4 linked regions of the Saccharomyces cerevisiae S288C genome follow. Changing the gene in region 4 together with the main gene of any one other region gives a genetic interaction. Each region holds a gene or a part of one and is shown on either strand. Other genes may lie near its edges.

Region 1 (8,348 bases), on a different chromosome or scaffold from region 4:
CCAGGTTAATCAATCACAGTTTCATACCGGCTAGTATTCAAATTATGACTTTTCTTCTGCAGTGTCAGCCTTACGACGATTATCTATGAGCTTTGAATATAGTTTGCCGTGATTCGTATCTTTAATTGGATAATAAAATGCGAAGGATCGATGACCCTTATTATTATTTTTCTACACTGGCTACCGATTTAACTCATCTTCTTGAAAGTATATAAGTAACAGTAAAATATACCGTACTTCTGCTAATGTTATTTGTCCCTTATTTTTCTTTTCTTGTCTTATGCTATAGTACCTAAGAATAACGACTATTGTTTTGAACTAAACAAAGTAGTAAAAGCACATAAAAGAATTAAGAAAATGGTTAAGGTCAGTTTGGATAACGTCAAATTACTGGTGGATGTTGATAAGGAGCCTTTCTTTAAACCATCTAGTACTACAGTGGGAGATATTCTTACCAAGGATGCTCTAGAGTTCATTGTTCTTTTACACAGAACTTTCAACAACAAGAGAAAACAATTATTGGAAAACAGACAAGTTGTTCAGAAGAAATTAGACTCGGGCTCCTATCATCTGGATTTCCTGCCTGAAACTGCAAATATTAGAAATGATCCCACTTGGCAAGGTCCAATTTTGGCACCGGGGTTAATTAATAGGTCAACGGAAATCACAGGGCCTCCATTGAGAAATATGCTGATCAACGCTTTGAATGCTCCTGTGAACACCTATATGACTGATTTTGAAGATTCAGCTTCACCTACTTGGAACAACATGGTTTACGGTCAAGTTAATCTCTACGACGCGATCAGAAATCAAATCGATTTTGACACACCAAGAAAATCGTACAAATTGAATGGAAATGTGGCCAACTTGCCCACTATTATCGTGAGACCCCGTGGTTGGCACATGGTGGAAAAGCACCTTTATGTAGATGATGAACCAATCAGCGCTTCCATCTTTGATTTTGGTTTATATTTCTACCATAATGCCAAAGAATTAATCAAATTGGGCAAAGGTCCTTACTTCTATTTGCCAAAGATGGAGCACCACTTGGAAGCTAAACTATGGAACGACGTCTTCTGTGTAGCTCAAGATTACATTGGGATCCCAAGGGGTACAATCAGAGCTACTGTGTTGATTGAAACTTTGCCTGCTGCTTTCCAAATGGAAGAGATCATCTATCAATTAAGACAACATTCTAGTGGGTTGAATTGCGGACGTTGGGACTATATTTTCTCTACAATCAAGAGATTAAGAAATGATCCTAATCACATTTTGCCCAATAGAAATCAAGTGACTATGACTTCCCCATTCATGGATGCATACGTGAAAAGATTAATCAATACCTGTCATCGGAGGGGTGTTCATGCCATGGGTGGTATGGCTGCGCAAATCCCTATCAAAGACGACCCGGCAGCCAATGAAAAGGCCATGACTAAAGTCCGTAATGATAAGATTAGAGAGCTGACAAATGGACATGATGGGTCATGGGTTGCACACCCAGCACTGGCCCCTATTTGTAATGAAGTTTTCATTAATATGGGAACACCAAACCAAATCTATTTCATTCCTGAAAACGTTGTAACGGCTGCTAATCTGCTGGAAACCAAAATTCCAAATGGTGAGATTACTACCGAGGGAATTGTACAAAACTTGGATATCGGGTTGCAGTACATGGAAGCTTGGCTCAGAGGCTCTGGATGTGTGCCCATCAACAACTTGATGGAAGACGCCGCCACTGCTGAAGTGTCTCGTTGTCAATTGTATCAATGGGTGAAACACGGTGTTACTCTAAAGGACACGGGAGAAAAGGTCACCCCAGAATTAACCGAAAAGATTCTAAAAGAACAAGTGGAAAGACTGTCTAAGGCAAGTCCATTGGGTGACAAGAACAAATTCGCGCTGGCCGCTAAGTATTTCTTGCCAGAAATCAGAGGCGAGAAATTCAGTGAATTTTTGACTACATTGTTGTACGACGAAATTGTGTCCACTAAGGCGACGCCCACTGATTTGAGCAAATTGTGATCTCCCTTGCCCCAGTGTACACATATATAAAAATATATTCATGCCTATATGATTATGTATCGGAATCCAAAAACTTATCTTTATATTGCTTCGTTTCGTAGTTAGCAATGAATCATCTTATCATGATTCCTTTTTTTGTTTTGGCCAGATTAATGTATCACGGTCGACGGCGAAGGCATCAACCATTGTTGTGGAATTTCAAACACAATACTTGATGACTCCAAACGTGGGCATATATTTTGATTTGAAAAGAAGTCGAGAAAGTATAGCAACGCATTGTATACGTTTGAAGCTTTCAGCAAAGGATATACCGTGGAAATGTACACGCCTATCCCTGCTAATACCCCTGCTCCCACTGCACCAACTTCATCGATGACGTCCAACTCTTCATCCGCATCAAATGCCAACACCACTAGCAGTAGTGGCATAAACCCAAGGAACAGAGCCAGTGGTACTCCATCCAATGAGCGGGCTCGTCCGGCGTCGGGTATCAGTTCGTTTTTGAATACCTTCGGAATTAGGCAAAATAGCCAGACAGCTTCTTCTTCTGCGGCTCCTGATCAGCGTCTATTCGGCACAACCCCATCTAACTCACATATGAGTGTGGCCATGGAAAGTATCGATACCGCTCCGCAACAGCAGGAACCACGTCTGCATCATCCTATACAAATGCCTCTGTCGGCCCAGTTCCACGTTCATCGCAACTATCAACTCCCCATCTCCATATCTCTCACTGCCCCTACAACCACAGACCACCAGCAATCATCTGCGCATAATTTCGAAGGCAACAATGTTGGTAACGTTCAAGAGTCTTTGAATCAGCGGCAGCCTAACGGTACTAACAATACCACAACCTCGATAATTTCCATGGCGCCAGCGGCTACAACGAGAAATATAGTCGGTGGTGCAGATGGATCTACTATTGTTAACAACAGTCAGGAAATGTATAAGAATTTACGTCACTTGATATATGCTGCAAACCAGCCAAATGGGACCGAAATTTTACATTTGGATTTACCTGCAACAAGTGCAGAGGAGTCAAACAATATGTTCAATGTAGATGAGGTCACTTTGAAGCAAAGGAAAGATAAGCATGGTCTTTTTAGTATAAGACTAACCCCATTTATTGATAGTTCGTCCACGACAAATCAAGGTTTATTCTTTGAACCGATTATAAGAAAGGCTGGCCCTGGATCCCAATTGGTTATTGGCCGCTATACTGAGCGTGTTCGCGATGCAATTTCTAAAATACCTGAACAATATCATCCAGTTGTATTTAAATCCAAAGTTGTTTCAAGGACACATGGTTGTTTTAAAGTTGACTCTCAAGGTAACTGGTATATAAAGGATGTGAAATCATCTAGTGGAACTTTCTTAAATCACCAAAGGCTCTCACCCGCTTCCTCTTTATCGAAAGATACCCCTCTTCGTGATGGTGATATTTTACAGTTAGGAATGGATTTTAGAGGTGGCACGGAAGAAATCTATCGTTGTGTAAGGATGAGGATTGAGCTAAATAGATCATGGAAACTAAAGGCAAATTCGTTCAACAAAGAAGCTTTACAGCGTTTGCAGAATTTACAAAAATTAACTACAGGTATTGAAGAAGAAGATTGTTCGATTTGCCTATGTAAGATCAAACCGTGTCAAGCAATTTTCATATCACCATGCGCACATAGCTGGCATTTCCGTTGTGTAAGAAGATTGGTCATGCTCTCATATCCGCAATTTGTTTGCCCCAACTGTAGATCAAGTTGTGATTTGGAGGCCTCCTTTGAAAGTAGTGACGAGGAAGATGAAAGTGATGTGGAAAGTGAAGGTGATCAACTGGTGGATCAACTTAGCGTCTTAATGGAAACTTCAAAGGATGTTGATAGCCATCCTTAAGGTCAAAGAAAATACACAGTTTGAAAAATAAAGAAAAACCACCGAACTCCACATCTCGTACCTTAATATTATTTTAATTATTCTCTTAGTATTTATATATTTGCGCCGTTTACATATTTGACTTATTGTTTTCAGGAATACAATACCTCCATCGTTGGCAGTCAATTTTGCTTTCACATATAAAACTAAAAAAAAAGTAAAGAACTCGGTTAATCCTCGGTTAGTTTGCCAAGCTCACCTATTAATCTTAATAGGACTTCTTGAGTTTGTTGTTTGCCCAGACCATACTTATATATTTCATGCCCACCTTCAACTATTTTCCATTCTTGAGTCTTGTGAGAAATTTTGGTCAAATCTCTTTGCCAATCGCCCCATAATGCCGACTTCTTCACCATTTCCTTAGAGCTAACGATGCTTGTCTTCACATTTTGCAAAGATTCTGCATTGTTTGTCACATCTCTGTAACTTAGAATTGAACTCGTCACGCTTTCCAAAAACTTGGAACGCAAGAAACGTCCTTGATATTTCATATCACGCCCATATATACGTTCTTTAGACCCATGATGAGCTAGTAACCATGAAGTCTGTAATCTCCATCCTAAACTCGACCAAATGCCTTTCCACCATAATCTAAATTCGTTATGCCTTTCTATCTCCGAAGGTAACCAAGTCTTATCATGGTTGCGGCCATCCCCATCATTACCATTGCCATCGTCGCCATCGTCGCCATCACCACGGCCTGGAGGTAGTAATCTTTGAATGTAGTTTTTTAACAATAGTTCTTCATGCCATGATTCAACAAGCATCATGCTATCCACAATATCGACATTCTTGGCGGTAAATACTCTTGTAAATAGCCCGCCAAGGTCGTATCCTACTGTAGTGAAGGGACCTTTAATTTTTGCATCTTTGATCAATGCGTACCTTAAAGATTCCGCAACCATCGCAATAGAGATTGGGGCGGGAGGAGAATCGCTCAACCCGTACCCTGGTCTATCGTATAGACAATATCTTTGAATTTTGTCTAAATGATATAGTTCCTCAATCCAGGTGGCAGAAAGGTAACCAGTATCATAACCTCCGTGTTCAAACAAGATGATAGGTTGCTTCTTATTTTCAGACAAATCTGTGTTGTTTTCTTGATCAAATACGTCACCATAACAAGTTATATGCAACTGATAGGTTTTAGCGGCATCTACGTAATGGAACGCCTCGTACGAGGGCGACTGAACGGTTATTGGTAATTTGTGAGTCAATCTGTAGGTATCCAATGTCGTTAAAAGTGTATTCAGGGTGAATAAAGCGAAGAATATTAAAATTAAAAACTTAATAGTATTCCTGAACCCAATGGATACCCATTCTGTCAATGTATGTTTGTTTTGGACCAGCTGCGAGCGGTGGGTGGGGGTTGGCGACCCAGAGCCATATTGGCTTCTGTCCCTGTTTTCGGTACTATTTGTATGGTTTTCGTTGAAAGTACTAATATTAGCATCATCAATTCTGCGTTCCTCCAATGGCTCATTTATTGAGTTGTTGTAAAACAAGAGATACCAATCTAATATTGCCCCAATAAAAAATGAAAACGAAGTCCACAAATATGTAAACGTGCCCACAAAGCCGATTCTTTGCCTAGTGTATTTAATTAGATAGGTCAATGCTAGATTGAACAACGTCAAAACACAGAGAGTTACATTTAAGCTGTAATCTAAAGCTGAGTACAGTCCCAGCTTATTAAACCAGAGATTGAAAGAATTAGCTATGATCGAGATGAATATTAAAGTCAAGTCGTTAAAACTTGCGTACCTGTTACTGAATCCGAAAAGAATATTGATATTGAAAAAGAAATCTGAAATCAAAGTGGTGACTAGCCAGATGGTGTTAATTAGAATTAGGATATTTAATATCCATTTGGAGTTATGAATAAAGATTCTATAACCTTTGCGAATTTGAAAGAGACTATCTTTGATGAACCCATCGGATTCAATGTCACGACCTTCATTAACTGCTGGGCCATTCGCGGATCCTGCACCAAGGGTCCGGTGGTTGTTGTTCAGCAACGGTTGCGCTTCTGGGTGTTCACTATCTATATCTGTTCTTTCCATTCCCGTCCTTGCCGGATCATTATCTAAACCATTAGCCTTCATGATCTGTTCGCTCTGATGCCTACAGTTCTTTCTTCAATGGCTTTCCTTTCCTTTCCTCCTTATAGAATATAGCAAGGCATCTAACTTTTAGTTTTTCTCTCATCCCTTTAAACTGCACGATGGTTAAAATTAGGGGTCCGAATAGCCTTGCAAGGAATAGATTAAAGAACACTATATATGCATAGCCACTTCAAAACGTGCTGAGAACATGCCATCAAGGTTGACCAATACGATTGCTGATTCGACAACTTCTACATTACATAGGCATATACATATCAGAAAAACGTGCTTTATAGGTACATTTTTTAATTCCTTAAACATAACTTGCTTCTATTTTGGGATAGTTCCTTTTCTTTGAACTACGTTTTTTGGGCAGAAATATAAAAAAAAACCGAAAAAAACGGCACGCAAGAAAGCTTATTCAAAAAGACGCAACAATATCATAGATTATTCTAAGTACCAACAACGTGATAAACTTTGTTCTAATAAAGCTACATCTTATCTCTTCTGTACAGCTTTATTGGGGTGAATCATATTTACTTCAATCCGGGTAATGGTAAACGTAACAAGTGATAGAAATATTCACCTGCGATGAGCTGGAAAAAAAAAAAATTTCAAAAGAAAACCATACTAATGCTGAGGTATAAAGTAACGAATTGGGGAAAGGCCATCAATCCAAAGTCGGAAAAATTGAACTTCACATAAAGTACCAGGCAAATGACTGAAGACATCGAACAAAAAAAGACCGCTACAGAGGTAACACCACAAGAACCAAAGCACATCCAAGAAGAAGAAGAACAGGATGTTGATATGACTGGCGATGAAGAACAGGAAGAGGAACCAGACAGGGAAAAAATTAAGCTTCTCACACAGGCAACATCTGAAGATGGAACTAGTGCCTCTTTTCAAATTGTAGAGGAGGATCACACGCTTGGAAATGCCCTTCGTTACGTTATAATGAAAAATCCAGACGTAGAATTTTGTGGTTACTCGATACCTCATCCTTCTGAAAACCTATTAAATATCAGAATTCAAACCTACGGTGAAACGACCGCGGTGGATGCTCTTCAAAAAGGGCTAAAGGACTTGATGGATTTATGTGACGTTGTAGAATCTAAGTTTACTGAAAAAATCAAGAGCATGTAGATGTTACGGATCGACTCAAAGACCCTCTGTCACTCTGAAATTTCTAATAATTATGCACACCACGCTAGTATAGATACAGCTTGATTTGTGTATCCCGTTTATAGTCGTGCTATTTAAAATCTATGTATAATATAACCAGATAAAAATACACCTTCGTACAAGGTGCTAATAATGTTGAGAATTCGAAATTCCTTTTTAAAGGCGTATTCCGTATTGAATGATTGAAAAATTTATTTCTTTTTTTATTTCTTTTTTTTTTTTTTTTTTTTTTTTTTACGCCGATGCTCATCGCAGAAAATTTTTCCTTCAGTTTATTTGTCTTATAAAAAGACTGTCCTACGCTCAAATAACTTATACTTTTCTGTATCTCATTCAAATTATTTTCTTGTCAACAACCTGTAACAGAATTAAGCACTATTAAGGCAAATTTAGAGCAAATATGACTTACGGTGGTAGAGATCAGCAATATAACAAGACTAACTACAAGTCTAGAGGTGGCGACTTCCGCGGTGGAAGAAACTCTGATAGAAACTCTTACAATGACAGACCACAAGGCGGTAACTACCGTGGTGGTTTCGGTGGTCGTTCCAATTACAACCAACCCCAGGAATTGATCAAACCAAACTGGGATGAAGAATTACCCAAATTGCCAACTTTCGAAAAGAATTTCTATGTTGAACACGAAAGTGTTCGCGACAGATCGGACAGTGAGATTGCTCAGTTCAGAAAGGAAAATGAAATGACTATTTCCGGACACGATATTCCAAAGCCAATCACCACTTTCGATGAAGCTGGTTTCCCAGACTACGTTTTGAATGAAGTGAAGGCTGAAGGATTTGACAAACCAACTGGCATTCAATGTCAGGGTTGGCCAATGGCTTTATCTGGTAGGGACATGGTTGGTATTGCTGCCACTGGTTCCGGTAAGACTTTGTCTTATTGTTTACCAGGTATTGTTCATATCAACGCTCAACCATTATTGGCTCCAGGCGATGGACCAATTGTTTTGGTTTTGGCTCCAACTAGAGAATTGGCTGTTCAAATTCAAACAGAATGTTCCAAGTTTGGTCATAGTTCCAGAATCAGAAATACCTGTGTCTACGGTGGTGTTCCAAAAAGTCAACAAATCAGAGATTTATCTCGTGGCTC
Region 2 (7,744 bases), on a different chromosome or scaffold from region 4:
TGTTGATCGATGACGAATTAGAAGACGGAGCATGCAGGATAAACCGTGTAGTTCGTAACAATTTACGTATTAGGCTGGGTGATTTAGTTACAATTCATCCTTGCCCCGATATCAAATACGCTACTAGAATTTCTGTGTTACCAATTGCTGATACGATCGAAGGTATAACTGGTAATCTTTTCGATGTTTTTTTGAAGCCTTATTTTGTGGAAGCCTACAGACCAGTGAGGAAAGGCGACCATTTTGTTGTCAGAGGCGGTATGAGACAAGTCGAATTCAAGGTTGTGGATGTCGAACCTGAAGAATATGCCGTCGTTGCTCAGGATACTATTATTCACTGGGAAGGTGAGCCAATCAACAGGGAAGATGAAGAAAATAATATGAATGAGGTGGGTTACGATGATATTGGTGGTTGTCGTAAGCAAATGGCTCAAATTAGGGAAATGGTTGAACTACCATTGAGACATCCTCAGTTGTTCAAGGCTATCGGTATCAAGCCACCAAGAGGTGTTTTGATGTATGGTCCCCCTGGTACTGGTAAAACCTTGATGGCAAGAGCTGTTGCTAATGAGACCGGTGCCTTTTTTTTCTTAATTAATGGTCCAGAAGTCATGTCAAAAATGGCTGGTGAATCAGAGTCTAACTTAAGAAAGGCCTTTGAAGAAGCCGAAAAGAACGCTCCAGCCATCATTTTTATCGATGAAATCGATTCTATAGCTCCAAAGAGAGACAAGACTAATGGTGAAGTTGAGAGAAGAGTTGTCTCTCAATTGTTAACTTTAATGGATGGTATGAAGGCAAGATCTAATGTTGTTGTCATTGCTGCTACCAATAGACCAAATTCGATTGATCCCGCTTTAAGAAGATTTGGTAGATTCGATCGTGAAGTCGACATTGGTATCCCAGATGCTACAGGTAGACTTGAAGTTCTACGTATTCACACCAAGAACATGAAGTTGGCTGATGATGTTGATTTGGAAGCATTGGCTGCTGAAACACACGGTTACGTGGGTGCTGATATTGCCTCTTTGTGTTCTGAAGCTGCCATGCAACAGATCCGTGAAAAAATGGACTTGATAGATTTAGATGAAGATGAAATTGATGCAGAGGTGCTCGATTCTTTAGGAGTCACCATGGACAACTTCAGATTCGCATTGGGCAATTCAAACCCATCTGCATTGCGTGAAACCGTTGTTGAAAGTGTCAATGTTACTTGGGATGACGTTGGTGGCCTAGATGAAATCAAGGAGGAATTGAAGGAAACTGTAGAATACCCAGTCTTACATCCAGACCAATACACAAAGTTTGGGTTATCACCATCAAAGGGTGTGTTGTTCTACGGTCCACCAGGTACAGGTAAAACTTTGTTAGCAAAAGCTGTAGCTACTGAGGTTTCTGCCAACTTTATCTCAGTCAAAGGTCCAGAATTATTGAGTATGTGGTATGGTGAATCGGAATCTAACATCCGTGATATTTTTGATAAGGCAAGAGCAGCTGCACCAACCGTCGTTTTTCTAGATGAATTAGACTCCATTGCCAAGGCAAGAGGTGGTTCCTTGGGTGATGCTGGTGGTGCTTCGGATAGAGTCGTCAACCAACTATTAACAGAAATGGATGGTATGAATGCTAAGAAAAATGTGTTCGTGATTGGTGCCACCAATAGGCCAGATCAAATTGATCCTGCTATTTTAAGACCTGGCAGATTGGATCAATTAATTTATGTTCCATTGCCAGATGAAAACGCTAGATTATCTATTCTAAATGCTCAATTAAGGAAAACACCACTAGAACCAGGGCTAGAGTTAACTGCGATTGCCAAGGCCACTCAAGGTTTCTCTGGTGCTGATTTACTCTATATTGTGCAGAGGGCTGCTAAATACGCTATCAAGGATTCTATCGAAGCTCACAGACAACACGAAGCTGAAAAGGAAGTGAAAGTAGAAGGTGAAGACGTGGAAATGACAGATGAGGGAGCAAAGGCTGAACAAGAACCAGAAGTAGATCCTGTTCCATATATTACAAAGGAGCATTTCGCAGAAGCTATGAAGACCGCTAAACGTTCTGTTTCAGATGCTGAATTGCGTCGTTATGAAGCATACTCACAGCAAATGAAAGCATCTAGAGGTCAATTCAGTAATTTCAACTTTAATGACGCTCCATTAGGTACTACGGCTACGGACAATGCTAACAGTAATAATAGTGCTCCAAGTGGAGCAGGTGCTGCATTTGGTTCTAATGCGGAGGAAGATGATGATTTGTATAGTTAGTTATATGCCAGGTATATTTTTATTTTAAATCGTAAATTCAAGTCATTTCTATAAAAAAAATCGTCAATTTTAACTCAATATTTTATGGCCCTTTTTATATTTATTTTCAAATTTGTCAAAAAAAGGAGAGCTAAATCATTAGAAAAAGAATGCATTATGGTATATTTATGTATATTAATATGTAAAATAAGAAAAAAGGGAGGCTGTAGGACCTCGGTCGTAAGAACATTTACCTGTGTTCTTCCGCCTTTTCCGAAAGTGCCATGAAGAAACGCAGGCCAGGCATAATTTCGACATTTAAAATCACGATTTGAAGTAATTTGACCAATTCGATTTCTTTACTTTTGTATCTTCTTTTATTATCTGTTTGTTTAACCCAGTTTTCAAGATCACAGGGCGCGCTTTACTAAAATTAAAAGGCTTAATTGTCGGTATTGGCCTATTTTCCTTGTTATCGTGTTTGGAGTCTATGTTGTATGTTCGCGGAGAAAACTTGTCGCTAATGTTATTGGATTCGTGTAGTTCGGGCAAAGTTCGTATTCTGTTACTATAATTGGATAAATTCGATCTTCTAGATTCCAACGTGGAGAGGGTCGAAGTGGAAGCTAAAGATGGGATAGACATATTGGACGATGAGCGCGAATGGGAAATGGATGTTTTGTTTACTATGTCTTTTTCTTGAGCAGAAAAATTTTTCAACGTGCGACAGTCTCTTTGCGATTTGTACAACTGCTCCTCTTTGATAGGCTTCAAGAATGGCGAGAGACATGTAATTAAATCATCTGTGGAAATGGTGACGTCCCAATCAAAATATTCTAATAGTTCCCTTTCAATAGTATTAACCTCCCTTAGGATGAGAAGGCCGTCCGTATATTCGGCCCAGTGTTTGTTAAGAGGGGAGGAATCATTTAACGTTTTTGCAGCTAATATTAGGCAACCTAAGAATATTCTATGCCTGGTGGTCTCTATACCATAAACGTTACTCGGTATTATTGATCTTAATTTGGCCAAATATACAGAGGTAGCCATCAGAGTCGGAGTTTGAACGTTAGAATGCTTGATCAGTCTGTTGATGAATTTAGTCAACGGTGGTGCTGGCAATGCAATATCTATCATACTATTCGTCTTCTTAATTTTGATAATGGAAGCTGTGGTCGATGCTAGATATTGCACCATTTCCTTAGATACAGCCTTCCTATTGAATTTCAGCAAGGCTTCGTAGTTTGACATCTTTTGTAGTAAAAAGTTGCTGCCGTATTGAAATTGCTCTTGTCGGATCAGGTTGTTTAGCACCGGGTCTTACTTTTATAAAGGAGAATTATAAAGTGAAAGAAAGGAGAACTTATAAGACTAAAGAAAAAAACACTTAAGAAGCACTTAAACTTGCATTAGATGTGTAAATCGATCAACCTGTAACATGTTTGAGGAAGGTCTCACACGTCTCCGAAGTTACAGCTACCACTTAGCGTGTCTGCGGGAACAATAGATCTCTTCCCAATTTGCACTAAATAGGTAACTAGCCAGGCCTATAAAAATCTTCGAGCGGAGAATTGACCGTAGTATCTGCCAAAAAAATCCACCTGCACCAGCATTTTTCGTGTTACGCGAAGTCTACTTTTCGCGTCATCAAAAGACGCTATAAAAATATAGCTGGGCTAATTTTATTCTATAGCTGGCCATTTTTTTATGCGATATCTGCTGGTTTTTTACAGCTGGAATGCCGTGACAGATGTAACAAGAATGTGTTTCAGCTGGCATTCTCACTCAGAAATGTAAGGCTAAAATCCGCTAAAATAGGGCTTCGCGTCTCATGATCTATTCACATTTGTTTCTAATAAACTATACTACAAAACGAAATTCTGTTGTGCAATGATGTAGGAAGCTCCATGAATTTGAGCAAAATTCCTAAATATTCTCGTTGTAATGAATAACGTTACCCTGAACAGTGCAGCAAAGCAGCTGATGTGCTGCAAGAAGAACACGAGCTGTAGTTGAGAAGCTTCGAAATATTAAACCTTTTATCAGAATGGAAATGGTGCAGAATTTGAGTTTCGAAGAGTGTACAAAATATTTTGTTGGTTTTGAAAACTTTTTTTCAGATAAAATTCGATATAAAAATTAGTTGCGTAAACATAATATGTATAATATAACGATCATAATAATGACTTGCTAGTCATAATCATCTTTGTATTGGTCCATCGATAGAATTACGAAGAAGATAAAATATAAAAAAAAAGAGAATGGTGAATTTCTGCGCTACTGTTCTTACTCATAAACTATTTCCAATAGAGTCAAGGGTTTTTTCGTCTGGATAATAGAAAAATGCCATTGCAATCAAAATATACATAGCTAGAGACATGACACCCTCCAACCAGTTTGACTCACCATCGAGAATTAAGTAATTGGATAAGAAAACAGCAATAAAAAGAGTAGCGGTTTCAAAAGTGGAGAAATTTAGCGTCATTGGAACATCGATCATCCAGCCCACAAGAACCATGAATGGTGTAACAAATAAGGCAACTTGTAAAGAGGAACCGATGGCAACACCTAGCGCCAGATCCATCTTATCCTTCATGGCCACCAAGACTGAAGTGACATGCTCTGCGGCATTACCCACAATAGGAATGACAATCAAACCTATAAATGTTTTAGATAGCCCGGTAGATTCAACAACGTTGTCTATCGTACCGACTAGAAAATCCGCACAAAAAGAGATGATCACAGTTGTACCTAGAAGTATCACCAATGATGACTTGACACTCAAAGAGTGATGTGGATTCCTGGAAATGGTGCTCATAACTTCATCGGTCTCTTCTTCTTGTTGCTCAAACAAGGCGTGATGGCTCCCTAGCTGGAAATATAAGAACAAAACGTAAACGATGAGAATAACAATAGAGGTGCCTCTGGATAACTCCAATATTTTTCCATCGATGAAGTGGTCTTCCTTGCCATGAGGTAGGGTGGCTCTAAAGGCAGCGGGAATCAGTAGGGATGCACACGCAATGGCAAGTAATGAGGACATTGTTTGAGCGGCGGTTTGGTTGAATGTCTGTTGGACTCTATTGTATCCACCGAATATGAAGCATAATCCAAGCACTAACAGCAAATTAGAAAGAAGACTACCTAGCATCGAGGCCTGCACAATTCTCACTTGACCTTTTTTCAGGGCAATGATAGAAACAATTAGTTCCACAGCGTTACCAAAAGTAGCATTTAGCAGTCCCCCAATGGTGTTACCAGCCTTATCAGCCAACTCTTCCGTGGCATTAGCCAAGATAGCTGCCAACGGTATAATTGCCAAGAAATTAAAAAGAAATGTCAGTGTATGAGATAGTTGGAAGTGTCCCCAAATCAGACCTAAAGGAACAAATACCAATAGGAAATTCAGGGGTGACGCTTTCAAAATATACTGTAAATCATACACAGCTGCTCTCCATGCAGTGTGCTTTGGATTGCGGGCGGGATGACTGTTCGCAACAGTTAATAGTGGGGTAGTTGCATCCATTGTATCTATGTTGTTTTATTTGCTATCAGCAGCCGATGAATGATATGCGTCGAAGTCAACTATATATTTAGGACTGCTTTTTAAGTTTAGGAAAGAGGAAACTTCTTTTACTCTCTGAGGAGATAAAATAATGCTGGGCGATAGTAATTTCCATATTCTCGTGAGGGAAATTTTTATTTTTCGGGAATTTTGATCAAGCCGTCCAGTCCAGTTTACGAAAAAGGAACTACGTCAATTAGTTTACAAAACATTCCCGATTACGTATGTCATATTCATCGAAGTTCGTAAGTGAGGATGACAAGGGATTAACGTCGTAAGGAAAACAATCTAATTGAAAAAAAAAAACTATTAGATAAGTATATATAACATTAAATTAGAACTTAAATACTACAATATTGTTCTCTTGGCAAAAAACAAGAAGGAAAATAATTGTCCCTCTCCAAACTGATAGCTTCCATTGAGTTCAATAGGAGAAAAAAAAATCCAATTTTTTCACACTTTCGGAAAATTTCCCTTTTAAGTTGTACTAAAATTACAGACAGTTGGAGGCATTAGATTAAAGGTGTATGATAGAGGTTAAAAGTAAACATAAATTCGTAACTGAAGAATTGAAGGAGATATTTCTCTTTGGAGAATTTTAAAAGAGTAAACCAGAAATAAAGAGAATAGAATATTATTAGAGAATAAATGATGTGTTTGGTCCCATGAGAAAGAAAAATTATTGACGTTCAATAATATTTTTTTCTAGCATACTATTTTTTTCGTGATTTAGGTTCTTTTTTCTCCAAATGAAAAACTCTCACATATTCGTTTGTTGCTGGATTGTCACTCCTTCTTCTCATCCTTGGATGCGGTTTATTGTTCTCTACTAATTCCAATGTGTCAATTTTGGTATCTTCCTCAACTTTATCAGTACCCGTTGGGACTTTTTGGGGAGAAAGATTCAAAGACGGCCGGGAAGCAGGAAGAGGAAGTTTTGGAACTTTGGTTTTCCATGAGTTCGGCGATACACCTCCATATCCTCCTTCTAGCCTAGCGCCAGTGGATAATGGTCTTTGCGCTAGTCCTGGCAATGACAGTTTACGCTTTAAAGGTCGTTCAAGAAGTGGTCTCAACTCTGCGGAACTTGCACTTTCGTTGGTTTTTGGGGTCTTGTTTTTTAAAAATTCTACCTCTTTTTTCAACAAGTTTGTCTCAACTGCATACCTTCCCTCTGAGGTGGCCCTTAACTCCGATAGCTGGGCCTGTAACTTCCAGTGAGATGTGGATGCTAAAGACCTGTTAAGCACACTTAATATGAGATCTTTCTCACTAACTAACGTTTCATCATCCCCTTCCTTTATCCTCTGTATGAGATTGAGAATTGTGTTTTCTAGTTCTCTGGTGTTTTTCAAAGATGGCATGAAGTGACTAGTAAAATTGTAGTATTCATTGTCATCAACTTTCTTCGATGAATCTGTAGTAGCGGTATCAGAGTAAGCGGGACTAAATACACTTGTGTTCTCGCTCTTTGCTTCCCTCGTGCCGACCCTCTCATTGGATTCTATGCTCCGTTCACTCTTATTCTTGGCAGGTTCCTCAGGCGTGACAAGATAGGCCTCTGCGCTCCGTCTACTTCTTAGCTCCATAGCCAACAAAATGTTAAATTCCTGTATGCCGTAGCCTTGCCCGCGTTTCGTATCAAAAGGGATGAGAAACTAAAGTGCTCAAATTTTATACGTTTCTAGTGCCTTATAGGTGTATTGCTAAGCCTGTAAGGACCGACGTATGTCCAACTTAGGGAGCTTTACATGTGTCAAAGAACCTTTCATTCCCGATGAGTAAAAATTTTAAAAATGTGCGCGGGAGAAGCTTCGGTCGGCGTCGCCATCAAAGGGCGAGCAACCATGGGTTTATGTAATTTTTGGTTGCTATGGTGACGACAGGTCTGATATCCCGCAACCAGGGGCTATCCCGCAGTGCCATTTCTAGC
Region 3 (7,442 bases), on a different chromosome or scaffold from region 4:
TACCATTTGAAAAAGTCTGAGAAACGTAAAGTGGTGCAAAAGTGGAAATTTGATCACATGAAGGCCAAGCAACGTGAAAAGGTCATGGAAAGGAAAAGGAAGAAGAGATTGGGTAAAGAGTTTAAACAATTTGAATTTCATAATCGTAGGTAGAGTATTTAAGCAAAAGAATGCACATTAAAGTAATATATAGAGAAAGATAAAAAAATAAACGCACACATAAACTAATGGAAGTAAGAGGTTATCCGCGAACCACAAGGAGAAAATCGAATGAATCGGAGAGGTGACAACAAAAAATTTGAAATACACAAAAGGTTGTCTATATACAGGATATATCGATTATACTTGTTTCTTTTTGGCTTATTTTTTGGGCTTAACGTCAGCACCACCTTTAGCTAACCACTCAGTAATAGAACCAGGATAGATACCAGTGTTTTCGTACCCATAAGATCGAGCCAACTCTTCGGCAGTTTTGGCTCTTACTCCTTTCGCACAAAGAAAAATCAATTCTTTATCGTGAGGTGGTTTAGCAAATTGGAAAACTTTGTGAAACTCCTTTTCGGGCAATCCAAGAGCGCCAGGGGCACTATTCACCGGAATATTTATTGTAGTTGGCATCTTGTAATCCTTTACTTCCTTGGGTTCCCTTACATCTACCAATAGTTTTTTATCATTGGGGTGTTCGACTAGGTTCCTGACCTGGTCAAAAGTATAGATCTTTGGAGCCTTCGTTGTAAATGTTCTCAGGACCAATGTAGGCGATCTTGCAGAAACTGTCCTCGAGAGAATACCTGTACTATGCTTGAACATCGTTGGTCTTTTTCTTCTGTCTCGCTTCCATTTGTTGAGAGTTATCGCTATCTTATTCCATTCAGATTAAGTTTTGTATTTTTTTTTTTATACTTCCTAATTTCTTTGCGCCGCCGCTATCACAGCCAATGCAATAGGCAAATATTATGAACGGTGTGACATAAATGGCATAATACGTTACTAGCTTACGAAAATACACAGGGTACATACCTAGAGTATACAAGGCTATAAGTCAAGTTTATCACCCCCATGAGAAACCCAATCATTCATAGAGCCAGGATATAGTGAGGTGTTTGAATATCCATGTGAGGAGGCGACTTTTTGAGCTTCTCCCCCGCGTTTGCCAGAAGCACAATAAAATATTAGCTCCTTGGCACTGTCAGGTTTTGGGATGCCAATCTGTTTCTCAAATTCTAAAGGATCTAAGGCAAATGCGTCAGGGTGCGATCTATATGGCACATTGATGGAAGCAGGAATATGAACAATCGAGTACTCAGATGGTTCTCTAACATCTACCAAAACCACATTAGGATCATGCTTTCCAACGATTCTTTTCATGTCTTCAAAACTGTAAGATTGAATATTTGAAACATTCTTACTTTGACTCTCGGTTCCATTCCAAGCATTCATCACGGCCTTCCACATTTTAATATCGTTTCTTAGTCACAAACCCTGAAAATAAACGAGAAAGAATTCTTTGATTGATTAAGCCTCCACTCTCTTTTATACACCTCAAAAATTCTCCCCTTACTTCCTTCCCCGCGGGTAATAATATTCTCCAAAAAAAATACAAAAGCAATCAGATGTAACTTATATAGGTTCCAAGATAAATAACAAATTATTTGTCATTGCAAGTAGGAAAAGGACATACCGTAGGTGATATCTGGATTTGGGCCTTATGGAAGCCAATCTTAGTAGTAATTCGTCCATATGTCTACCAAAGGGGATAACAAAAAAGTACAACTACAAATTTTTCACACAGTGTCCCGTTAATTTCATATACTCAATATGCTGCGTTTAATCAAGAAAAATTCTGATATTTTGCGACAGAAGGTGTCCCTGGAAAGCGCTTAGTATGCTGTATGATCTTTGAAGTACAATGCACAGGGAAATAAATCACCATATCTGACGATCATCTTGCTAGTTTCTAAGTTCGGAACATCTTGTCTATGCGCCAATAAAACTAGTTTTACATCGTACAGAAACACTGTCCACTTAGAACTGGACACTTGTTTGCCCAGTATAGTTCTGATACTATTATTATGTATAATTCCCTCAATATTAAGCACTTTATGCAAACGTGTTGGCCCATTGAGGCATTGATATACGGCAAGTAATAGCACCTTTTGCTTCTTACCTTTATCAATTTGGAAATAATGTTCGAATTCTATTTTATTTTGCAGAATCCTTAGTATATTTTCTTCGTCGAACTTTTGTACACTATTTAGCTGAAACTTCATAAGCTTTCCGCTCAAATTAACCTTTGCATTTGTTGATGTCTGGCTATTCATTGGGGATGGGACCGGCTGGTGAGTGGACCTCTTACATTGTAATGATTTGTTCCTTTTCTGTAAAAGTTGTAGAAACGCGTCGTAGTACTTCTGCAAGTCGGCAAGAATGGGTTCAATCTGCTGAACGTCCAAACTAAAATCCTCCAAAAGATGTCGCATTTGATTTTCAATCATTGACAATCTCTTTTTATAGCCCAATGTAATACGATCGGCTTCGACAATTTCATCTTCTGAGTACTCAACTACCGAATCGTGGTCCAAATACATCTTGCCAAATTTTGTTTGTTGCATAGTTTCACTGATATACAATTCACCTGAATTTACCACCGACAGAACATATCCATTTCTCTGCTATGGAGTATCAATGTAGTCTTGTTACATATTACGACACAGTTTTCTTTCCTTTAAAATAAACGCGTCGTTCTCATCTCATGTGAAAAACTATATCAATAATATAAAAACATAAAACCCCTATAATTTATGAACATCTACTGCATTTAGATAAACCCTTACGAACTATATGTTTTAAAATAAAATACACGCATGCGAAATTTCTATTACTACCTAAACCGCATTTCTAATACAAAATGAGAAAAACCCAACAGTGAATAACCATATAGTGTCTAACGTAATCTTAAGTCACTGACGACAAATTCGCCATCACCAAGATGTTGGGTGTTTCCGACACGTCTCACAATAAACTGCTTGGAGTCCTTGACGTAATCAACTATAGTGACAGAGGTGTTGAAAACAATGATCTTATGAGCTTGATGATTTTCATACTTTAACCATTGTAAAATCATTCTGATAGCACCTCCATGACTAACTAGGGCTAGATTCTTGACACCTTCATTAGATGCTTCAGCAACTTCTTCTTCGACACATCCAGTTAACCTAGCAACAAAATCGTCACTTTTTTCCCCAAAATTTCTAAAGGAGCCTTCACCATGTTTATCAGCATACTTTTCAGCCTCAGTAATCTGCATACCTTCAATAACACCCATATAACGCTCCCTTAACCCCGAAGTATAGGAAGTAGGCACATTTTCTTGTTTTGAATGTTTCAAAACTAAAGCCGTAGTTTGCCTACACCTTTTTAAATCACTACTGACAACCTTATCAAAATGAATACCTCTTGAACGCAAGTAATGCCCCAATTTAGTGGCTTGTTCTTCTCCCGTAGGATTGATCGAGGTATCTTTGTGACCTTGCAAAATTTTTTTTACATTGTGTTCTGTTTGTCCATGCCTAATAATGAATAATCTGATGATGTTGTTATCGTCATTATCGCAATAATATGGTACTTCCTTAGTCATTCTTGGGTATAAATATATTTTTGGGTGCTTGTATAGCTTCGAGCTTCGTTGCCGCTTTGATCTTACAGTATGAGACTAATTCGAACCAGAATGAATAAAGCAATACTTTATGTTCTACAATTCAAAAAAGAATTAAGTAATATTGTGACGACCTGATTTTCCCATTGTATTAATATCGCTGGAAAAAAAATTACTGAAAAAAGAGGAAATCCCGCTAGAGGAAAAAAAGAAAAGGTTATATGATCGACCTGAAGAAATCTGCAGTACAAGATAACGCCTTCGAGTAAACATCACTGAGAAGAAAGGCATATTCAGCAGACATAATGCAGAATGAACCAATGTTTCAGGTCCAGGTGGACGAATCTGAAGACAGTGAATGGAACGATATTTTAAGAGCGAAGGGTGTAATACCAGAACGTGCACCTTCGCCCACTGCAAAGTTAGAAGAAGCATTAGAAGAAGCAATTGCCAAGCAGCATGAAAATAGACTAGAAGATAAAGACTTGTCGGATTTGGAAGAACTAGAAGACGATGAAGATGAAGATTTCTTGGAAGCTTACAAGATCAAAAGATTAAATGAAATCCGCAAATTACAGGAACGTTCCAAATTTGGAGAAGTTTTCCACATTAACAAACCTGAATACAACAAAGAGGTTACTTTGGCCAGTCAGGGAAAGAAATATGAAGGTGCACAAACCAATGACAATGGTGAAGAGGATGACGGTGGTGTCTACGTATTCGTTCATCTCTCGCTTCAAAGTAAACTACAAAGCAGAATTCTGTCTCATCTTTTCCAATCTGCTGCATGCAAATTCAGAGAAATAAAATTTGTAGAAATACCTGCCAATAGAGCAATTGAAAACTATCCCGAATCCAATTGCCCGACATTAATTGTATATTACCGGGGTGAGGTAATCAAAAACATGATAACGCTACTAGAACTGGGTGGTAATAATTCCAAGATGGAAGACTTTGAAGATTTTATGGTAAAAGTTGGCGCTGTTGCAGAAGGAGACAACAGACTGATAATGAACCGAGACGATGAAGAATCCAGGGAAGAGAGAAAATTGCATTACGGTGAAAAAAAATCGATCAGGTCAGGTATTAGAGGAAAATTTAATGTCGGCATAGGTGGAAATGATGATGGCAACATTAATGATGATGATGATGGATTTTTTGACTAAATAGTGCGAATATTCCTTATTTACAGGCTAAGTGGTGTCACTATCCCCATTATTTAATATATACAGATATAAAGAACAGCAAACTTTGTCATGTACTTCTCTGAATGTTTACGCGAGGATTACGGTATGTATGATTGAACATCGCTGCAGCATGGATTTTAGTAAGAGCCGTTGTCATGGCAACCAATTAAAGCTCTTTAATTACCGTCAAGCATACTTAGGATACAGATACAATAAAACCCCTTATTAAGTTCGAGCAGGCACATCTTGACAGAATAAACCTTTTAAATCGTCATATGGAGCATGGTCTGGTATCAAGTTTTACTACTTTTTCGCTTTGTTGTCAGAGGATAGAAATTTACTTTTTCTAGTTGTGCGTATAAAGAACACTATGGATGCAGTAATACAGAAAGTAATCTGTTCTACTTCGGTGCATTTTCAAACTGAATTCTACCACAAACCCCAGAATTATTATTATGAGTGAAAAGAAGAAAGTTCTAATGCTACATGGTTTTGTCCAATCCGATAAGATATTTTCTGCGAAGACTGGAGGATTACGAAAGAATTTGAAGAAGTTAGGTTACGATTTATACTATCCTTGCGCCCCACATTCAATTGATAAAAAAGCGTTATTCCAATCAGAGTCAGAAAAGGGTAGAGATGCTGCGAAGGAATTCAACACCTCAGCGACTAGTGATGAAGTATACGGGTGGTTCTTTAGAAATCCCGAATCTTTCAATTCCTTTCAAATAGATCAAAAGGTGTTTAACTATTTACGTAACTACGTGCTAGAAAATGGACCATTTGATGGTGTCATTGGATTCAGCCAAGGTGCAGGTCTTGGGGGCTACTTAGTCACTGACTTTAACAGAATATTAAATCTTACTGATGAACAACAGCCCGCTTTAAAATTTTTTATTTCATTTAGTGGATTCAAATTAGAAGATCAATCCTACCAGAAAGAATATCATAGGATTATCCAGGTGCCCTCTCTACATGTAAGGGGGGAGTTAGATGAAGTTGTAGCAGAATCTAGAATCATGGCATTGTACGAGTCATGGCCCGATAACAAAAGGACATTGTTGGTTCATCCTGGAGCCCATTTTGTCCCAAACTCGAAACCATTCGTATCCCAAGTTTGCAATTGGATCCAAGGAATTACTAGCAAAGAGGGTCAAGAGCATAATGCCCAACCTGAAGTAGATCGGAAACAATTTGACAAACCTCAATTGGAAGATGATTTGTTAGATATGATCGATTCCTTGGGTAAATTGTAATTCGATAATTGATATTTATATGAGCTACATACAATTTTTATAAAACTATTGAAAATATCGACGAGAAAAAGGAATAGTGTGACTTTTCTGCCGCCTTCTTTGACGTTTGATTTTCTATACCTGATTTATATCTGTTGCTAAAGAAAGAATTTTCGCGGCACACGAATGATATATATTTAACGTAAGGATTTCTTTTATCTGGCGGAAGTATCTCAATATATTAATATTAAACGCTGTTGAACACTATCCTAGGAACACTGACAGCTAGAAGTGATCATAAGACATTGCATATAAAATAACTATTAATTTTAATTAAAAGAATTTAATTAGAACAACAGGAAGGTGTTATAAGAAAGTGCGAATGAGTACAAATACGGAAATCATAAAAAATAGTGATTTGCAAAGTTTAATCAATGATAAGAGGAGGTTAATAAATGAAATAAAAGACTTTAATAAATCCATTAAACCCTTGGAGTTTGAATCGTATCAGGATTATTTCCTGATAAAAACGTTCAAAAAAGGAATATCTGCAAGTGGCCATGTGGATATTGACAGTTTAAGAAATAAAGAATATGGAATATACTACAAGAAAATCAAGAGGAACTCTACACAAGAAGTCGGCGAACCAATCCCTCGCAACACATCCTCCTCCTCCTCTTCTACTAGATCAAACTCATCAGCTGATATCAGCGATACAGAATATTCAGGTGAGAACACTCCTACAACTACTGGTGCTGCCAGTCGAAGAAGACGTACGAGATCTCGAGCTATTCAAAGAGAAAATAGTCTACCAGCATCTTTACCCTCAATTAGTGAAGCGAATGCAAACAATGATGATGTTACTATTTCTGAAATAAATGGAAGTGAATTGCCATTTCCAATTCCAATATCAGAAGTGGAAAATATTGACATTGCTTCAGATATAACTGAAAGGGATGGTATTAGAAGGAGATCATCAAGGATATCAGAAAGAGACAAAAGACGTTCACAGTCTAGACTGGGGTCAGAAGAAGATGAAGAAGGCGACGGACATGACGGAGATGAAGGGGAGACCAAAATCCAAGACCTATATGAGAGTTTGGTACCCAAAATTTTGGAGTCACGTAGAAGGTCTGATTGGATCCTCCCTCCTAAGGCAAGATATACACCAGAAAAGCAAATGAGGACCAAACCGTCATTCAAGAGCATAAAGATTAATGAACTTGTCGGGAATAAAAGAATACGAAGTATATTATCTAGATTTGAAGGTGGTGTAGCGGGTATACGCAAAAGAGATTGGGACTCTACCCAATAGCTTCTTTGAAGAAGTAAATAAATATAAATAGAGAGAAATATGACGTATCA
Region 4 (8,036 bases):
TATTATTTCTCTTTGAAAACGGAAGGTGAAGAACAAATCGAGAAAATGTCTGTTGAACCAGTTGTTGTCATTGATGGTACGTAAGATTTTGCACTAATAATTGAATGTGTTTTCCTTTCCCAGCCGCAGGATTTGCTCATAGTGCACAGCGTTTACGAGTCCCCAAGGAATATGATAAAAATATTACAGCCGCAGAAGGGTGGAATACAGAAGGGTCTTCGTAGATTGTGTATACGCTAAAACATGGAGATAGAGAGAGATGGGAATTATGAACGGGAAAAACAGGTTTTATTTAAAGGATAATACTAACAAATCCATTTTTTTGAATGAGCATCCATTCATTCATCAATAATAATCTTCAACCAGGTAAGGGTCATTTAGTAGGTCGTTTAGCTTCCGTTGTTGCTAAGCAATTATTAAACGGTCAAAAAATCGTTGTTGTTAGAGCTGAAGAATTAAACATTTCTGGTGAATTTTTCAGAAACAAATTAAAGTACCATGATTTCTTGAGAAAGGCTACCGCTTTCAATAAGACCCGTGGTCCATTCCATTTCAGAGCCCCATCTAGAATCTTCTACAAAGCTCTTCGTGGTATGGTTTCTCACAAGACTGCTCGTGGTAAGGCCGCTTTGGAACGTTTAAAGGTCTTTGAAGGTATCCCACCTCCATACGATAAGAAGAAGAGAGTTGTTGTCCCACAAGCATTGAGAGTTTTGAGATTGAAGCCAGGTAGAAAGTACACCACCTTGGGTAAGTTGTCTACTTCCGTTGGTTGGAAATACGAAGATGTTGTTGCCAAATTGGAAGCAAAGAGAAAGGTTTCATCCGCTGAATACTATGCCAAGAAGAGAGCTTTCACCAAGAAAGTTGCCTCTGCTAATGCTACTGCTGCTGAATCTGATGTTGCTAAACAATTAGCCGCTTTGGGTTACTAAGAAATTAAAAATAGTTTTTCTTTAATACTTTACATTTTGTAATATAATCACAAATATTTTTTAGAAATAATAAAAACCAAAGAAACCATTCCTCCCCGTTACAGTTTAGATTACCTCCCCTTTTTCTTTCGTACTTTTTATATTTTTATCGTTTGATATTTACAAGAAATTAAATCTATCATATAGCCTTTATTTACTAAAGCCTATGCTTAAGGTTCTCGTATACACAAAAGGTAATGCAAGTGGATGGAATGGCCCGTACTAAGTTTGCAGATAGGCCCTTATAAAGTCCAACAAAACCATCATTAGCAATGATTAATTTTATCAAAGGAAAGAGCCTAAATTTTTGCTCATTGGCCCTGAAACTTTGTAAGTTTGATTTCAATAATTGAAAAGGGTAAACCAAAGTGACGGAGACCATTTTTCCCAACGATGTGATTTCAATGGTTTCAAGATTTGTTAAATGGATGTCAAGCCCATTTTCCCTCTTCCGTCGCAATTTTCTTTGCTTTAAGGTATCGTAAACTGCAAAATATAAGGCACCTTGCGAAACACCAAACAGTGCGGGTACAAGGCCCTTCCATAGGCCCTGGAAGCCATCAGTTCGTAACAGTTGTTGGACACCGTTGTACATAGAAGTGTACGCTCCTTGGGCGCCTTTACTTGTAGACATTATCCTGGTCTTTATAACCCAGATAGGGTTTGTTAGGATAGCTGTCATCAACCCACTGGAAGCACCGGCAGACAAATAAATAAGCGAATTCATTTTGTGGTCGTTCCCAACACCTTTAAGCTGTGTTTCCCCTGGCTTTGCCACTGACTTGTATATCAATTCTTTCGTGACACCATATAAACCGAAATAAACTCCCCATGCAATGGCATTTCCAAACAAATTTATGCTTAATCCGCGATACAGTTCGTTCGTAACACTACGTCCACTATTCGCCGACGAACGTATAATCTCTTTGATTACCATAAATGGGCCGTAATGGGCCTTTTGTGCGCTTGTAGCGGATAATTGCAAACGAACCTTCAGTAAATCTAATGGATGCACTACCAATGTGGTGACGGATCCCGCGGACAGACCTGAGATAACCTCCTTCTGCAGTGGCGTCCACTGGTGATCGACCATATTATCAAGAGCTTCCTGCTGCGTGCTGGTTTTGCAAAGTACAAAGACAAGATATTGTACATATTCCTATGAAAGCTACTGCTCTTCACGTACTCCTTCACTTTTTTTTTTTCAGTTTAAGTTTTCCAATTTTTTTGTAAGATGAACCTTTCAGCAAATCTGTTAAGAGTCAATTTCCTCGGTAAGAAATATAAAATATAAATGAATATAGATTATAAAACAGACTGTACTTAAACAGCCCCCGTCAATACGATAACGCAGTAAAATAAATGCTCATCATGATAAATCCAACAAAAAAATAAACGGAAGGAAACTGAAAAGAAAAAAAAAGGAAACGAAGAAAAACATAATTTATCGTTTGATAGCAGTAAGTCGCAGATCAAGTCGCGCCTGTATCCTTACAAACATGACGACATTGAGCTGTACAAAGCTATGACCAACCGTTCCATAATTAACTCTTTTCAACACATTGAAAATAAGACTTCCCCCATCGAAGCATCAAGTTCTTGCATGTCACAAGATACTTGATCGTAACCTCCTGAAGGTCCCTTTCAGAAACACATGGAGTGTAGTTTACTAGGAAGGAAGAAGAGACATCGAAAACTTTTTCACTTTATATAGGTGAGAAAAATGGTGCAAGAGAGCATGACCGTGTATGGTGACATATAAATGGTTGTTGGCAGCGAATTTAACAACACTGCAGATGTAGATGTCGTAGCTATCCTTCTCACGTTGTTGAATGCTGACTATTTTGTTATTAAGCAACGCCTTGTTAGTGCTTGTTTTACAAAGCGTATTAAATGGTATTTTATTTATGCTATCGCTTTATTATCTTTATTTTCATCACGTAACACGGTGTGTGCGCCATATTAATGTTGCAACAGTCGTGAGGTGATTAACAAACAGTATCAGACTAAACTCACCCTTTGGTGATATGCAATTTCTTGAGGCGCAAAAGGTTGATCCTGAAAGCTTTTGTGATAGACTACCTTCAAGCAAAGCGAACGTAAACGGCAAAGATGGATACCAGCAACCACAACCAAGACCACGACTCCCACGTGGCGGCACAGAGGGAGAACGACAATAATTATATGCCACCTTCCCCCTCCATGAGCGAGAGTTCTATGATTTTTGAAAGAAATGTAGAGGACCCATCATACCTTTATAAAACGGTGTCAAACAACGCTGCAAACTCTCTCTCTAGGCAGAGCAGCAGGACCAGTTTGTTCAATCATAATAATTCTAGTAATAGGAACTTCCATAACTTAAGCCAGAGATCGTCTGCTGTGAATCTACATTTGCAACCTTCTAGGACTAATGAGTCAATAGCATCGTACCAGACATACAATCCGGATTTTGTTGTGCAGACTCCACTGGATCACCGTCGTACCTTAGAGAATTTCGTCCCTCCTGCATTAGACGCTGGCTGTTCTATTGTAACTGACGACACGACTGGCCTTGATGACGTTGATATGGTTTATTCGAGAAGGCCATCTACCATCGGCCTGGATAGAGCCCTAGGTAGGACAAGAAGTCTTTCGTCACAATCTTTTGATAACGAAACGTCGCCTGCGCATCCAAGATCTCCCAACGACCATGGTTCAAGACTACTAAGGTTTTATTCCTACGCTGACATGTTGTCCGATGACAACAATAACAACGTTAGTAATGCGACATCAACATCATCAACTGCGAACCCCTTGAGAAGACCCCCAATGCAAGGTCACTACTCGTTCTCGTCGTCCCTTTTGAATTCTCCTTCTCATTTGCCTTCCCCCCCATCAGCTTCGGCATCACCACCTCAGCATATGAACTTCACCAACCCTTTCATCATATCTAGACGTTACTCTAACACAACGATCAACAATGCCAATGGGGGAACCAGCGCTGGAAGCACTACGGGGGCCGCACTATCAAGATCGCCATCGAACCAACAGTACTTACTTAAACAACAAAGGTCACCTTCAGGGAGCGCCCGTTCAAGAAGAAACAGCAATAGGCCCGGCAGTGCTGCCAACATTATGATCGGGAAACCTAAATCCAAATTCCATATGGAATCCAGTGGCAGTGAAGGGTTTTCTTCCGAAGAGGAGGACAACACTATGATTGAAAGAGATAAACTCAATCTAAAGCAAAAATTGCAGTCACAACTGGCACAACCACCATCAATTGCCAACATGGTTAACGATAATCACAATAATACTAATAAACACAAGAATACTATTAATAATAACATCAAAAATAGCCCTGCGTTCACAAACTCGAATCCAAGTTCAAAATCAAATTCAAACTCTACAATAACCTCTATGAATCCAGACACAACCAAATAAAGAAAACTGAAGGGCCGCGATTGTTCATTTCTTCAACCTTCTTCTCCTACTCTAAAAATTCATTTAAGTCTCTTTTTTCCATATATATAGATATATAACGGTATTTTATGTATGCACGTATACCCCAATAATGCCACTAATTTACTCCGTTTTCCAATCCATAATCAGCAAAGACCATATGTGATTTCAAATATAAAAAATGAGAAACATGTGAATATGTATATATGTTATGCGGGAACCAACCCTTTACAATTAGCTATCTAACTAGTCCTTTTTCGAGCTCCAGAATTTACCATCACCCTTATCATTCCATTCTTTGAATTTGTTCTTGGCTTCATCGTACTTTTTCAACGCTTCATCGTACTTCTTTTGGGCCTCATCTTTTAAAGCCTGCTTGTCATTGTCGACCTTGGAAGTCCATCCAGACCACCAGTGGCTGCCGTACTGTTTCAAGTCCTCCTTCGCCTTAGATAACGAGTCCATGGCATCGGACACGTTCTTATCCAGTTGTTTCTTTGAATTCTCATAATTCCATCTTAAATCGTCCATTTCGTCCTTGGAAAGTTGAGCGGCTGTTTCACCCCATCCTTCTAAACCTCTGGCTACCCGTTCAGCAATCTGTTGCTCGCTTTGCTCCCCTTTGTTGTAACCAAACCAGCCCTTTTCCTTGATCTTCTTCAGCTCGTCAAGACGTTTTTGCGCCTCGCTTGGCTCTGAAGAAGCATTTCTCTTGGCTTCCTCCAACTCTTCTCTACCAAACTCCTGTGCCGTATCACCCCAGCCTTGGACACTTCTTGCAGCGGCTTCTTCAGTATTAGCGTCACCCGTGTTATTCTTCAACAGGCGTTTCAAAGGATTACTGTTCCTTTCCTGTTGGTCTAGCTTGTCCGAAAGCTCATTAAAGTCTCTGGCTCTCCCGTACCTTTCGTACTCAATGGATGCTCTGTCCAGAGCGGCCTTCTTCTCTCTCATCACCGTGGACAAGAGCTCCTTCTCATTACGATCCACTGCCTCTTCGAAACGCTTCTTAGCAGTATCAAATTCCCCGATGGCTATGGCTTTCCTTCTTTCAGCCTCACTAAACCCCCAATTGAAGATGCTTTGCGAGGAAGAATCCTTGGCTTTTTGGCCTAGCTGCTTGCGTGTCTGAGCATCCTCTTCCGGTGATATCACACGCTTAGTTACCTTTGGAGCCTCTTCCCTAGCCTTTTGAGATACGCCCAGAAGCGCGTCTTTTAACGACAAGGCATCTTCCTTTATGCCTTGCTTTATGTTATGTAGCTTTCCCAACTGTGGGGGTGCTGAACTGCCGTACTCCTGGCCGTTGTAGTAAGCGGAGACGTTGCCCTCTCTTCTCTGACCCTTGGCCTTCTGTTCTCTGACCATGATGCTAGCTGTGATGGCAGCTGCCAATGCTGCACTGCCGACAATTATTCTTGATGACATCCTTATCTGCTTGTTTTATTAAATGATTAACGTTACTGGCCAATCAAAAATACCCTTTATTTCAAGAAAGGGCAAAGAAGCAGGACTTTAGCAAGAACCGTTTCCCCTTATATATACTCCTCTTCAAGGAACTCGACAAAATAAGGGTCAACAAACTCCTCCCTTAACCCACACGGGCCACCGGCGAGCTTGTGCTCCTGCGAATAGCAGTACACTATTGGTTGTTGCAAATCCTGACGATTCACTTTCAAACACCATGCAGGCAGGAGAGTCAAACAAGACTGTTTGCTGTGTTATTGTCACCGCTGATGGTTGTGATGACCACCGCTTACCTATGACGAGGGGCAACGTCTTCACATTTCATGTTTACCACCAATATGCCAATTATTTTAAGAAATCTGCATAACAGAAGGACGCCAGCTGGCCATAGCATTTATAGATTCCTGCATTAATGTAACCGTCCGCACACCGTATGTATCAGCTTGTCAATTATTATATGAAATGTATATATATTTACGAACTTCAATTTTGTCAACATATTTCTGGAACAAGACTGGCTGGAACGGCTCAGCACACACAGGACAGAATATCAAAATTCTCGAGTACTTTGAGAACCCCCTTCAAGTGAGGTACCACCCTTGGTTGTAGTCTTGTATATTAATCCTTCTTTTCTTTAGTATAAATCGATCCTTTCTATTATACAATTCGCCGGTAATTTTTCAGTGAAAAACGAGTTTTGCAGTCAAACCATTCCTGGATGTGCTATACAAAAAAAAGGTCCGAAGACGTGTAAAGGATATATAACGCCAGGTTGATCATCACTAACCATCATGTCTGATAATTTGTTATCTTTAGAGAATCCGGTGGTGCCTAGTCACTATGAGTTGCGTCTAGAAATTGACCCTAAGCAGTCGTCGCCCAATTTCAAAGGATCCGCCATAATCCATTTGAAATTCAATCCGAACTCCACCACCTTAGCTTCTATCGAAGACAGTTTTACCCAGTTCAAGTTACATTCCAAGGATTTGATTGTGTTGTCTGCACATGCCACCATAGGGTCTACTAAGTTTGATCTAAAAATTTCTCAGGACACTGGAAAGCATTTGTCGATTTTCAACTCTGAATCTCCTATTCAATTGTCCAACGATTGCCCTCTGATTTTGTCCGTGCAATACGTGGGTAAAATTCGTGACATAAAAACACATCATGATAAGACTTTTGGTATTTTCAAAACCAATTTTATGGATCGTAAAACCGGTACTGCCAATAATCACGTCGTTGCTACTCACTGCCAACCGTTTTCCGCTAGCAATATTTTCCCATGTATTGACGAGCCTTCAAACAAGTCCACTTTTCAATTGAACATTGCAACGGATGCACAATATAAAGCCGTTTCCAATACTCCTGTAGAGATGGTCGAAGCTTTGGATAGTTCTCAAAAACATTTGGTGAAATTTGCCAAGACACCTTTGATGACTACTTCCGTATTTGGTTTTTCTATTGGTGATTTAGAATTTTTGAAAACGGAAATCAAGTTGGAAGGTGATAGGACTATTCCCGTTTCAATTTATGCACCTTGGGATATTGCTAATGCAGCTTTCACTTTAGATACAGTCCAGAAATATCTACCTTTGTTGGAATCCTATTTTAAATGTCCATACCCTCTGCCAAAGTTAGATTTCGTCCTACTACCATATTTAAGTGACATGGCAATGGAGAACTTTGGTATGATCACCATCCAACTAAACCACCTGCTCATACCACCAAATGCCTTGGCCAATGAAACCGTCAGAGAGCAAGCACAGCAACTCATTGTCCACGAACTCGTTCATCAATGGATGGGCAACTACATATCTTTTGACTCGTGGGAATCTCTTTGGTTTAATGAGTCTTTCGCTACTTGGTTAGCTTGCCACATACTAGAACAGAATGGTGACCTATCCCATTATTGGACCTCGGAACCTTATTTACTACAGCAAGTGGAGCCGACCATGTGCAGAGATGCAGCTGACGTTAATGGAAGAAGCATATTTCAGATTGCGCAACGGAACACTGGCATAGATTCTCAAACCTCCGATATTTTTGATCCTGAGGCATACACAAAGGGTATTATCATGCTGAGGTCCCTGCAATTGGCTACAGGCGAATCTCATCTACAAAAGGGCCTGGAAAGTGTATTTGAAGATACTAAAA

The links.
Region 1: of VHS2 (region 4) and DMA2, extra expression of one rescues a mutant of the other (dosage rescue), as found in Saccharomyces cerevisiae (one study listed by BioGRID).
Region 2: of VHS2 (region 4) and PCL2, extra expression of one rescues a mutant of the other (dosage rescue), as found in Saccharomyces cerevisiae (one study listed by BioGRID).
Region 3: of VHS2 (region 4) and PLP2, extra expression of one rescues a mutant of the other (dosage rescue), as found in Saccharomyces cerevisiae (one study listed by BioGRID).

Annotation. Positions count from the first base shown.
Region 1 is NC_001146.8:406,001-414,348, forward strand, and holds DMA2 (ubiquitin-conjugating protein DMA2), read left to right. Parts: upstream 1-2,340; coding exon 2,341-3,909; downstream 3,910-8,348. Other genes in the region: malate synthase MLS1, read left to right, coding at 358-2,022; YNL115C (uncharacterized protein), read right to left, coding at 4,119-6,053; DNA-directed RNA polymerase core subunit RPC19, read left to right, coding at 6,771-7,199; DEAD-box ATP-dependent RNA helicase DBP2, read left to right, coding at 7,639-8,348. UniProt on the Saccharomyces cerevisiae protein: E3 ubiquitin-protein ligase which functions in cell cycle retarding in conjunction with the UBC4 and UBC13/MMS2 complex, 2 E2 ubiquitin conjugating enzymes. Involved in nutritional control of the cell cycle.
Region 2 is NC_001136.10:230,680-238,423, reverse strand, and holds PCL2 (cyclin PCL2), read right to left. Parts: upstream 3,498-7,744; coding exon 2,571-3,497; downstream 1-2,570. Other genes in the region: AAA family ATPase CDC48, read left to right, coding at 1-2,267; VCX1 (Vcx1p), read right to left, coding at 4,537-5,772; YDL129W (uncharacterized protein), read right to left, coding at 6,525-7,400. UniProt on the Saccharomyces cerevisiae protein: G1/S-specific cyclin partner of the cyclin-dependent kinase (CDK) PHO85. Essential for the control of the cell cycle at the G1/S (start) transition. Together with cyclin PCL1, positively controls degradation of sphingoid long chain base kinase LCB4.
Region 3 is NC_001147.6:843,648-851,089, reverse strand, and holds PLP2 (Plp2p), read left to right. Parts: upstream 1-3,960; coding exon 3,961-4,821; downstream 4,822-7,442. Other genes in the region: rRNA-processing protein RRP36, read left to right, coding at 1-153; thiosulfate sulfurtransferase RDL2, read right to left, coding at 361-810; thiosulfate sulfurtransferase RDL1, read right to left, coding at 1,036-1,455; HUA2 (Hua2p), read right to left, coding at 1,881-2,612; YOR283W (phosphoglycerate mutase), read right to left, coding at 2,945-3,637; FSH3 (putative serine hydrolase), read left to right, coding at 5,298-6,098; RFM1 (Rfm1p), read left to right, coding at 6,460-7,392. UniProt on the Saccharomyces cerevisiae protein: Essential for cell growth. Inhibits early G-protein signaling events following pheromone stimulation. Inhibits the folding activity of the chaperonin-containing T-complex (CCT) CCT2 which leads to inhibition of cytoskeletal actin folding.
Region 4 is NC_001141.2:91,426-99,461, reverse strand, and holds VHS2 (Vhs2p), read left to right. Parts: upstream 1-3,086; coding exon 3,087-4,397; downstream 4,398-8,036. Other genes in the region: 60S ribosomal protein uL13 RPL16A, read left to right, coding at 46-76, 367-935; flavin adenine dinucleotide transporter FLX1, read right to left, coding at 1,132-2,067; YIL134C-A (uncharacterized protein), read left to right, coding at 2,737-2,940; OM45 (Om45p), read right to left, coding at 4,662-5,843; TMA108 (Tma108p), read left to right, coding at 6,674-8,036. UniProt on the Saccharomyces cerevisiae protein: Can suppress the synthetic lethality of the hal3 sit4 double mutation when overexpressed, suggesting that it is involved in the G1-S transition.